Daphnia pulex: one gene and its partner. The protein of the gene in region 2 purifies or fractionates together with the protein of the main gene of each other region. This does not show direct contact. Links are inferred from orthologs where the notes say so. Each region holds a gene or a part of one and is shown on either strand. Other genes may lie near its edges. The genes, in order: fasciculation and elongation protein zeta-2-like and kinesin heavy chain-like.

Region 1 (2,619 bases), on a different chromosome or scaffold from region 2:
TCAATTCGTGTCGTCTCGTGTTGCACGCCATTGTTCGTGCTGGCCGTTCTGTCAAGTTTCCCATCCGCACGGAGTAGAAATCCTCCTTCATCCAACTCCTCCCGTCTCTCTCTCTTACCCACATTTATCCATCCATCCATCCCTACCGTTTCCGACCTTAAAAAACAAAAAAACAAGCGAAATTCCTGCCCGTCTCTTTCCTTAGCACCCGTGCAAAGTCAGGGACTTCATTATCATCGTGTGCTGTCTGTGCGCCTGTGGATTCGTTCTGTACGTAGTAGCAAATGGTGTCTCACACTGTTTTGACATGTTTATGGCCGTTTTTTTATGATATAATCTTTGAGTTGATTATATGATACCTACACTCACCTCGACTTATCTCGAGTTTAGTCTGTTTTCGCAACCCCCACAGAGAAACCTTCAAAAGTATTAGTCAATTTTTCATGTAGATTCGACACTTATTACCATGAAAAATCAATCGATAAAAAATAATCAGAGAATGGGAGCATTGTAATGTATTGCGCTTTTTTTTTAACGTCCATAAGTGGCACACGACACACGTCACGAAAAAAATTTTGTATACAAGGAAGGAAGAAAAGAACAAAAAAAAAAAAAAAAAAAATACTGAACGCAAAAAAGCCACAACGGAACAGAGAAGTGTCACATCAACCTCCGGGATGTCAAAAGCAGCAGCCAGTCTCGTTATTTATATTGTCTTTCAACCTGTTTTCTTCTTTTCTTATTAGTCATTGTCACACGCAGCGGGGAGGAGAAAGAACTGGTTGAGATCTAGTTACACTTTTTATTCTTCTTCTTTTTCTTCGTCGTTTCTTGTTTTCTCGCGGGGAAAAAAAAAATAAATTGAAAGGATCGCGCTGCCGACAAGGTAGGATGACGTCAATTAATTGGGTGGCGGGGGAACTAGGATCAAATGTTTTGACTAGACGAGCTTCTTCTTCTTCTTACTCTGCTCGGATATTCAATCTCGTGTTTTTCTTCTTTCAAGCGGGAGAGTCCCCCGGCTTTGATTTTGACTCGGTTCCAACTTTCTGTGTGTTGTCAGACAAGGGTGGGTGGGAGAGAGAGAGAGAGAAAAGATCTAGCAAGGTATATAAATAATCACCAAATAAATTGAGGAAGCCTAAGCGAGGTTAAAAAAAGAAAAACAACGGCGGCTGTAGAGTCAAAACTATAAACACATTAGGCGAAAAAGTTCGAACAGTCGTAAGGGAGCAAATGAAGAATAACAAAAATGGGGGGAAAAAGGCTTATTCGTACAAAAGGAAGGAGATTCAGATTTGTTCCGGTTTCGACTACAAATTCCAACACAAAAAAAGAAAAGAAAAAAGTTCTTGTTTCTTTTTTTTGTTTTGTTTTCAACGAACGCAAACGAGGCCACAAAAGCCGATATCCTTCTGTCAAAAGGAATTCTTTTTTTGTTTGTTCTGAAATATTATTTAATGATGGTGCGCGTAGGACGAACGTTAAAGCATCCGCCAGCTGAAAAGAGATTGCGGTTAAGATTCTTGGATGTCAATTATTTTGACGAATGAAGAAGACGAAGAACTGGAAATGAGAGAAACGACCACGTCGAGCGCGGCGCCACGACCTAGCAACTACGTCGGACACAACACTAGAAATTCCAAATAAGTAATTTAATGTTAAAAAATGGGAAAGGAATCTGGGCCGGGGAAAAATGAAATTCCTGGTAAAATGTTACCTTTCAAAATATAATCCGTCAGTAATGTCGGTACGGTTGGGCTATCCTCAACAATGGCTCGGAGAACTGCATTAAAAGTCATCCCAAGTGGATAAGAAAAAAAGAATTTTCTCTTTAGAAATAATAACAAGTTTTTTTGGGGGGTAAGTGTCACGACTTACTTTTGATGAGGACCTGGACGGTCGGATTGCTCGGAGGTCCGTTGCCAGGGTGATAGGGAATGACTGTCGTGATGTACTGCGCGCGACACAAACACAACAGACAAAAGAGAAAAAAAAAACAATAAAAGGATCAGCAGGACGAATTGTTTTCAAATGAAATGCCATTGGCTCCATGTCTATGAAAGAAGCCCCGTAAAAAGCCATTTCCCGTCAGTCGGGATGATTAACGAGATTAAGATACGACCTTTTGACATTTTTTTTTTCCTTTTGCTCCATCCCGTATTGTCGTAAATCAAGAGGACACTCTTACGGAGAGAGAGAGAGAGTCCTCTTAACTCGACGCTCGTAAAAGGAAAAATATACAAGAATGAGTCAGAGAACGAGGAGGGATGGGCTAACCTTGCAGTCGGGCTGGCTGGTGAACCCGCTGCCCATTTTATTGCCGTTCTTGCCCGTCGGTGTCGTTGCATTGGTGGCCGGCTTCTTCTGGTTGGCCGTCATTTGGCGGCGCTTGTTCTGCACGTTCAACAGTAAAGAGATGAAAGTGTTTTTTAACTCTTTCTCGTACTCGAGCTCGTCTCGAAGGGCCAGCTCGGCGATTAAAGTCTCGGAATGGTGCTGGACCCGCCACTCCAGCTCGGACAGGAGCTCATTCAGCTGGCCGACGCTCCACGTTTCCAACTCTGCAAACAAAAACAACGACAATTGTAGAGAGTGAGACAAAGTCGGACAAGAGGT
Region 2 (4,554 bases):
TGCCACGCCCATCTCATTCAAATCTTTGAATAAACTAGTTAACAAGTCGTTGAGTTTTCGACGCTGATGGGCAGATGTGTCTTTCACCTTTAAAAAGCAATATGAGCATGACGTAAATAAAAATCAAATATTACGAAAATGTGGCGCACCTGTGCTAGTTCAGACATAGTGCTGTTAAGCTGGCTTTGACGTTGAGATAACTCTTCAGTGACTGTTTCATTGTCGCGGTTCTTAGCTTCCACTTCCTGAGACTTCTGATCGTAATTAACTGCCAATTCTTCTAAAGCCTTGACAGATAGAAAAGTTTAGTATTGGGGAACGTGGAGGGGATGAAAGTGACATACTTGCAAAACTTCTTTGACTTCTTCTTTTGCTGATTCGTTTTCAGCCTGGATGCGGTTCATTTCTTGTTGTAGCGATTCATAATCTCTGCGGGTAGCACCAATAAGTTCCTCCTGTTCCATCATTTGTTCCTTAAGCTTTTCCACTAACTGACTTTGCTGATTTATTTCTTCATCCTATAGGGATTTTTAAAAATTTAGTTCGGTGTACTGAAAAACTTGGACAACAAACCAACCTTATCATCCAACTGTTGGTACAGTCTTTCACGCTCAGAATCCCAATCAGCTCGAACGGCAGGGGCAGCAAGAACAGGTGGCAAAACGGGAGCAACCGGTGCCACAGGAGTCAGGTCAACACTGATGGTAGATACGTCCATAGCATCTCGAAGATTAACCTAAATAAAACCAAAGATCAGGATTGTTGATCTAGTAATCTCAAAATGAATTTTCATACTTGTTCTTCTTGCCCAACAGATTCGCCAGATCTCCAACGAGTGAGTTCTGCTTCGGCAATCTCCAATTTTGTTTTATAGCGTTGAGCCTTCTCGCGTTCTTTTTCGAAGCGGCGTTTCCATTCTTCGGCAGTAAGTTCTTCATTTACTGTGACGGCGTTTTTAATAGTTTTTGCTCTACAAATACAAAACAAATGGCATAATTTAGAGAGAAGCATAAACATTGTTTCATCAATACCTTCGGCCAAAGTCCAGAGTAGTCTTAGTTTCCGATTCATTGAATGACGCTGGAGAACAACAAGTAACAATTGTCGTTCTGGCATTACCACCCAATGATTCTTGAAGAATACGTGTCAATTTTGAATCACGGTAAGGTATGTGAGATTTATTTCCATCGGCCAATGCAGATATAACATTTCCCAATGCCGACAAGGATTTGTTAATATTTTTTGCCTCATCCAAGACGGTTCCCTCAGCACCTGTTTTGCTCACCTGGAAAATTAAGATTATACGCGATAAGTTCACGAAGGACACCAAAAGTTGATTTGTTTTACTTACTTTCTCACTTCCAGCTAAATCGACAAGGTAAAGTTTACCCGATAGTTTCTTTTGATTTTCTAAGTTTTCTTGTTTTACGTTAATTAGGAAAACTGAGTGGCTCCTAGAGGAGTGCTCATTCATGTCTGTAATTGAAAATAAACAATGAAAATTGATGCACAATTTACGTCTCTAAATAATTCTTACTTGTTACAGCGATGTGTCGATTAGCTTTTCCTTCTTCAATCACTTCAAATACCTCTTCAGGACTTGTAACAAATCTTTCTGTTACACCCTTTACATAAGGGATGCGATTCTTATCTTCATGCACACTCAAATTGACTTTAGATACTGCAATAAAAACAGTTTGGTATTATTCTGCTAACAACACAATAATTTCTTTAGTAGTTTTACCATCAAGAAGATCCCTAATTTTGTCCATGTAGATTTCAAAATAAGAGACTTTAATGTGGAACTCCAAGTTTTCTTCCATAGCATAGATGTGATTGAAGATATCGTTGACAATTCGTGGGATGATACCCTGTAGATGTGGATCTCCCATGACTCCTTCCATTGTGTGGGTTTTACCCGAGGATGTTTGCCCGTATGCAAATATAGTTCCATTATAGCCCATTAGGACATCTAATCAGGAAAAAAGGTGTGTTTTAGATCAAGGATATTTCTCAAATGAGTGTTAATAGAAGAAATAGAAATACCTTTTACAATACTCTTTGCTGCTTCATTGTACACTTTCTCTTGACTGGCATTGGGTTTGAATACTTTATCAAACATGTAAACTTTTCCCTACATTAAAAGTAGAACTCGTGGTTATTTGATTTAATTAAATTACATTATCGGTGTTGCAGGATTCTTACCCCTAAATTTATACATTGGTCGTCAGTGCCGGGTGGAAACTTGACGACGAATTTCGATCCAGCTCTCTCTTCGGCATCGTTTAAAGGTCGAAAACGACACACTACACGAATACTATCTTCTCCCGGCGCTTCTCTTTCGGCTGACATGATTACACAGCTCTCAATAACTTAAAATACTTGAAAGTTTTAGTAGGAACACTTTTTTTTTCACGTCAGTTCCGACTCAATGCCAATTTGCCCTTAAGGAAGAAAGAGAGAGGGAGGGGCACGTGAACCCTCTTCTAGCCAACACACAAGGCGAGTATGAGGACCAATGGCCAACAAACAAATCAATCGAATCTGTTAGTCTGTTACTTAGATAAGAAATGTTTGTTCTGTTTCTGACAGTATTTGCGTAAAACAAATTGACGAGATATTTCAATTTGTTTGTTGGTTGGAAGAGCGAGCACTGCACGTATTTGATCGAAAGCTCGAACACCTAAAAAGTAAAACACAACGACCAAACGGGTGTGAGCAAGCAGCTGGAGGCCGATGCACTTGATATTTTCAAGCCGAGCGGACTTCCGGCAATTAAGCTGCCATCCGTAAGATGTGGATGCGTTAACGACTCGTAACCAAATTGCAGCTATGGTCGTGCACCAGAGAAAGAGGAAATACAAGAGGAAAACTAAATGACACACACCGTAAGGGCTACTACCTTCTTCTGTTCTGTATCGCACATCCCATGCAGCTCGCTCAGCTATGGTGCGATAGGGTTTAGACTAACCCACTGCTGCATATATTGGTTTCTTATTGATCGAGTCGTGTGATATGCGCTGTATGTGCTCTTAAAAACATTGCATCATTTTCACTAGATTCTTCTTCAACCAATCAATTTCAAATTAAACCGGTTTAATAATAGAAGTCGTAATTATATTCTATGATGAAAAAACAAGGAAGTATTTTAGACATATTAGGGGCTGACTATAATAATAAGTAGGCAGCATAACGCGTTATTTTTCAATTTGTTGTCTGTATTCTAGGCAGTAAATATGCAAAATACGAAATCATGAAAATAAATTATGAAAGACATCATTAAAATTACGAAATCATTTGTGTTTGTGTTTTCAACCGGGGACGCAGACGCAAGCTTGTGATTGAGCCTTTAAGTAAGCACTAAATCCCCAACCATGGACGGATTGATAAAGAACTTCAACAGATGCTTCGCACTCTAAGAAAAAATATTTTATACTGTTAGGAGACGAAATAAATATTTGGTAAAGTAATAACTCACTTTTCTCCCGATCATCGATTAAAGGCTGCTCGCAGTTCTCATTCCAGAATTTATTAGTAAGTACGATGCGAAATGGGCAAATCAAGTACCGCTGCCAGCTTTTAAATGAACAAATTTTTATCAAACAGTTTTTAAATTCTTTATCGCATTGGCCTCGGTGCACGTCAGCTTCCATTGACGAAATGATGTGGCATTTATCGTAACACATATCGTGAGTGTTGCAGCATAGCTCTTGGTCTTTATATGGCAAACATTCAACGTCTATCTACATTATATAAAGAAAAAAATAGCGGAAAATAGATAAAAGAAAATTCTGGGCTGATTTTATTTGTATCGTTACTTTGAGTCCATCAGCTCCACAGCCATTACTAGTCGGGAAATGACTTTGGTTTGGCGCTGCTATAAATCCTGCAAGAATGTAGGTATACATTTAATTATTGATTTATTAGTAAACTGCAAGGGGGTCAGAATATTGTATACTTAACCAGGTGGGCAATCAAACTTCAATTCAGAACTGGAAGGCTGTGACAAAAGATTGATTGAGGATTCCCAGATCTTTGGGTGATAAGCGCAAAAATCTACAAGAGTACTGAAAGTAGCACCAATAATTCCAGTAGACATCATTTTGAAGATAATCCATCTAAGTATTCCGGTCCACCAACCATCCAGGAAAAATAAAGTTACTAGTATGATGGCTACATGTGAATTCTTCATCGTACATCGTCCGATATGGGACGATAACTCTGAGAGAATTCCAGACAATTTGCAGGTTACACAACTACAGTCCGGTATTTTATTTCACTAAGAAGTAAACGGTGCACTCCGCCCGCCCCTTCGAACCTTCCCTATATATTGATAGAAGGGATTTGCAATTGCAACACGCGATACATATATTGATATCTCGATACGATACCTTTTATATTACGTTGAATTACGAAATAAATTTGTTTTTTAAGTTATAATCGCGGCCATTGGTCATAAATATAAACAAATTGGATACTACGAAAATATAGCGTAGTTTGAATGCCCACGTAATTTCAAATCGAAATCGGATTTGATTTTCCTTATTGAATCGA

The links.
Region 1: the proteins of kinesin heavy chain-like (region 2) and fasciculation and elongation protein zeta-2-like purify together in Drosophila melanogaster (affinity purification with western blotting; 3 studies listed by BioGRID). This does not show direct contact. The link is inferred for Daphnia pulex from reciprocal best matches to the Drosophila melanogaster genes Khc and Unc-76.

What each region holds. Positions count from the first base shown.
Region 1 is NC_060027.1:4,971,364-4,973,982, forward strand, and holds the end of fasciculation and elongation protein zeta-2-like, read right to left. Parts: intron 2,565-2,619; coding exon 2,281-2,564; intron 1,958-2,280; coding exon 1,882-1,957; intron 1,787-1,881; coding exon 1,721-1,786; intron 1,634-1,720; coding exon 1,617-1,633; 3' UTR 501-1,616; downstream 1-500.
Region 2 is NC_060020.1:7,296,080-7,300,633, reverse strand, and holds the start of kinesin heavy chain-like, read right to left. Parts: upstream 2,964-4,554; 5' UTR 2,353-2,963; coding exon 2,206-2,352; intron 2,135-2,205; coding exon 2,047-2,134; intron 1,973-2,046; coding exon 1,745-1,972; intron 1,682-1,744; coding exon 1,538-1,681; intron 1,477-1,537; coding exon 1,352-1,476; intron 1,286-1,351; coding exon 1,032-1,285; intron 971-1,031; coding exon 796-970; intron 737-795; coding exon 578-736; intron 519-577; coding exon 345-518; intron 288-344; coding exon 150-287; intron 88-149; coding exon 1-87. Other genes in the region: group XIIA secretory phospholipase A2-like, read right to left, coding at 3,312-3,415, 3,479-3,743, 3,819-3,886, 3,964-4,192. UniProt on the Drosophila melanogaster protein: Kinesin is a microtubule-associated force-producing protein that may play a role in organelle transport. Milt and Miro form an essential protein complex that links Khc to mitochondria for light chain-independent, anterograde transport of mitochondria.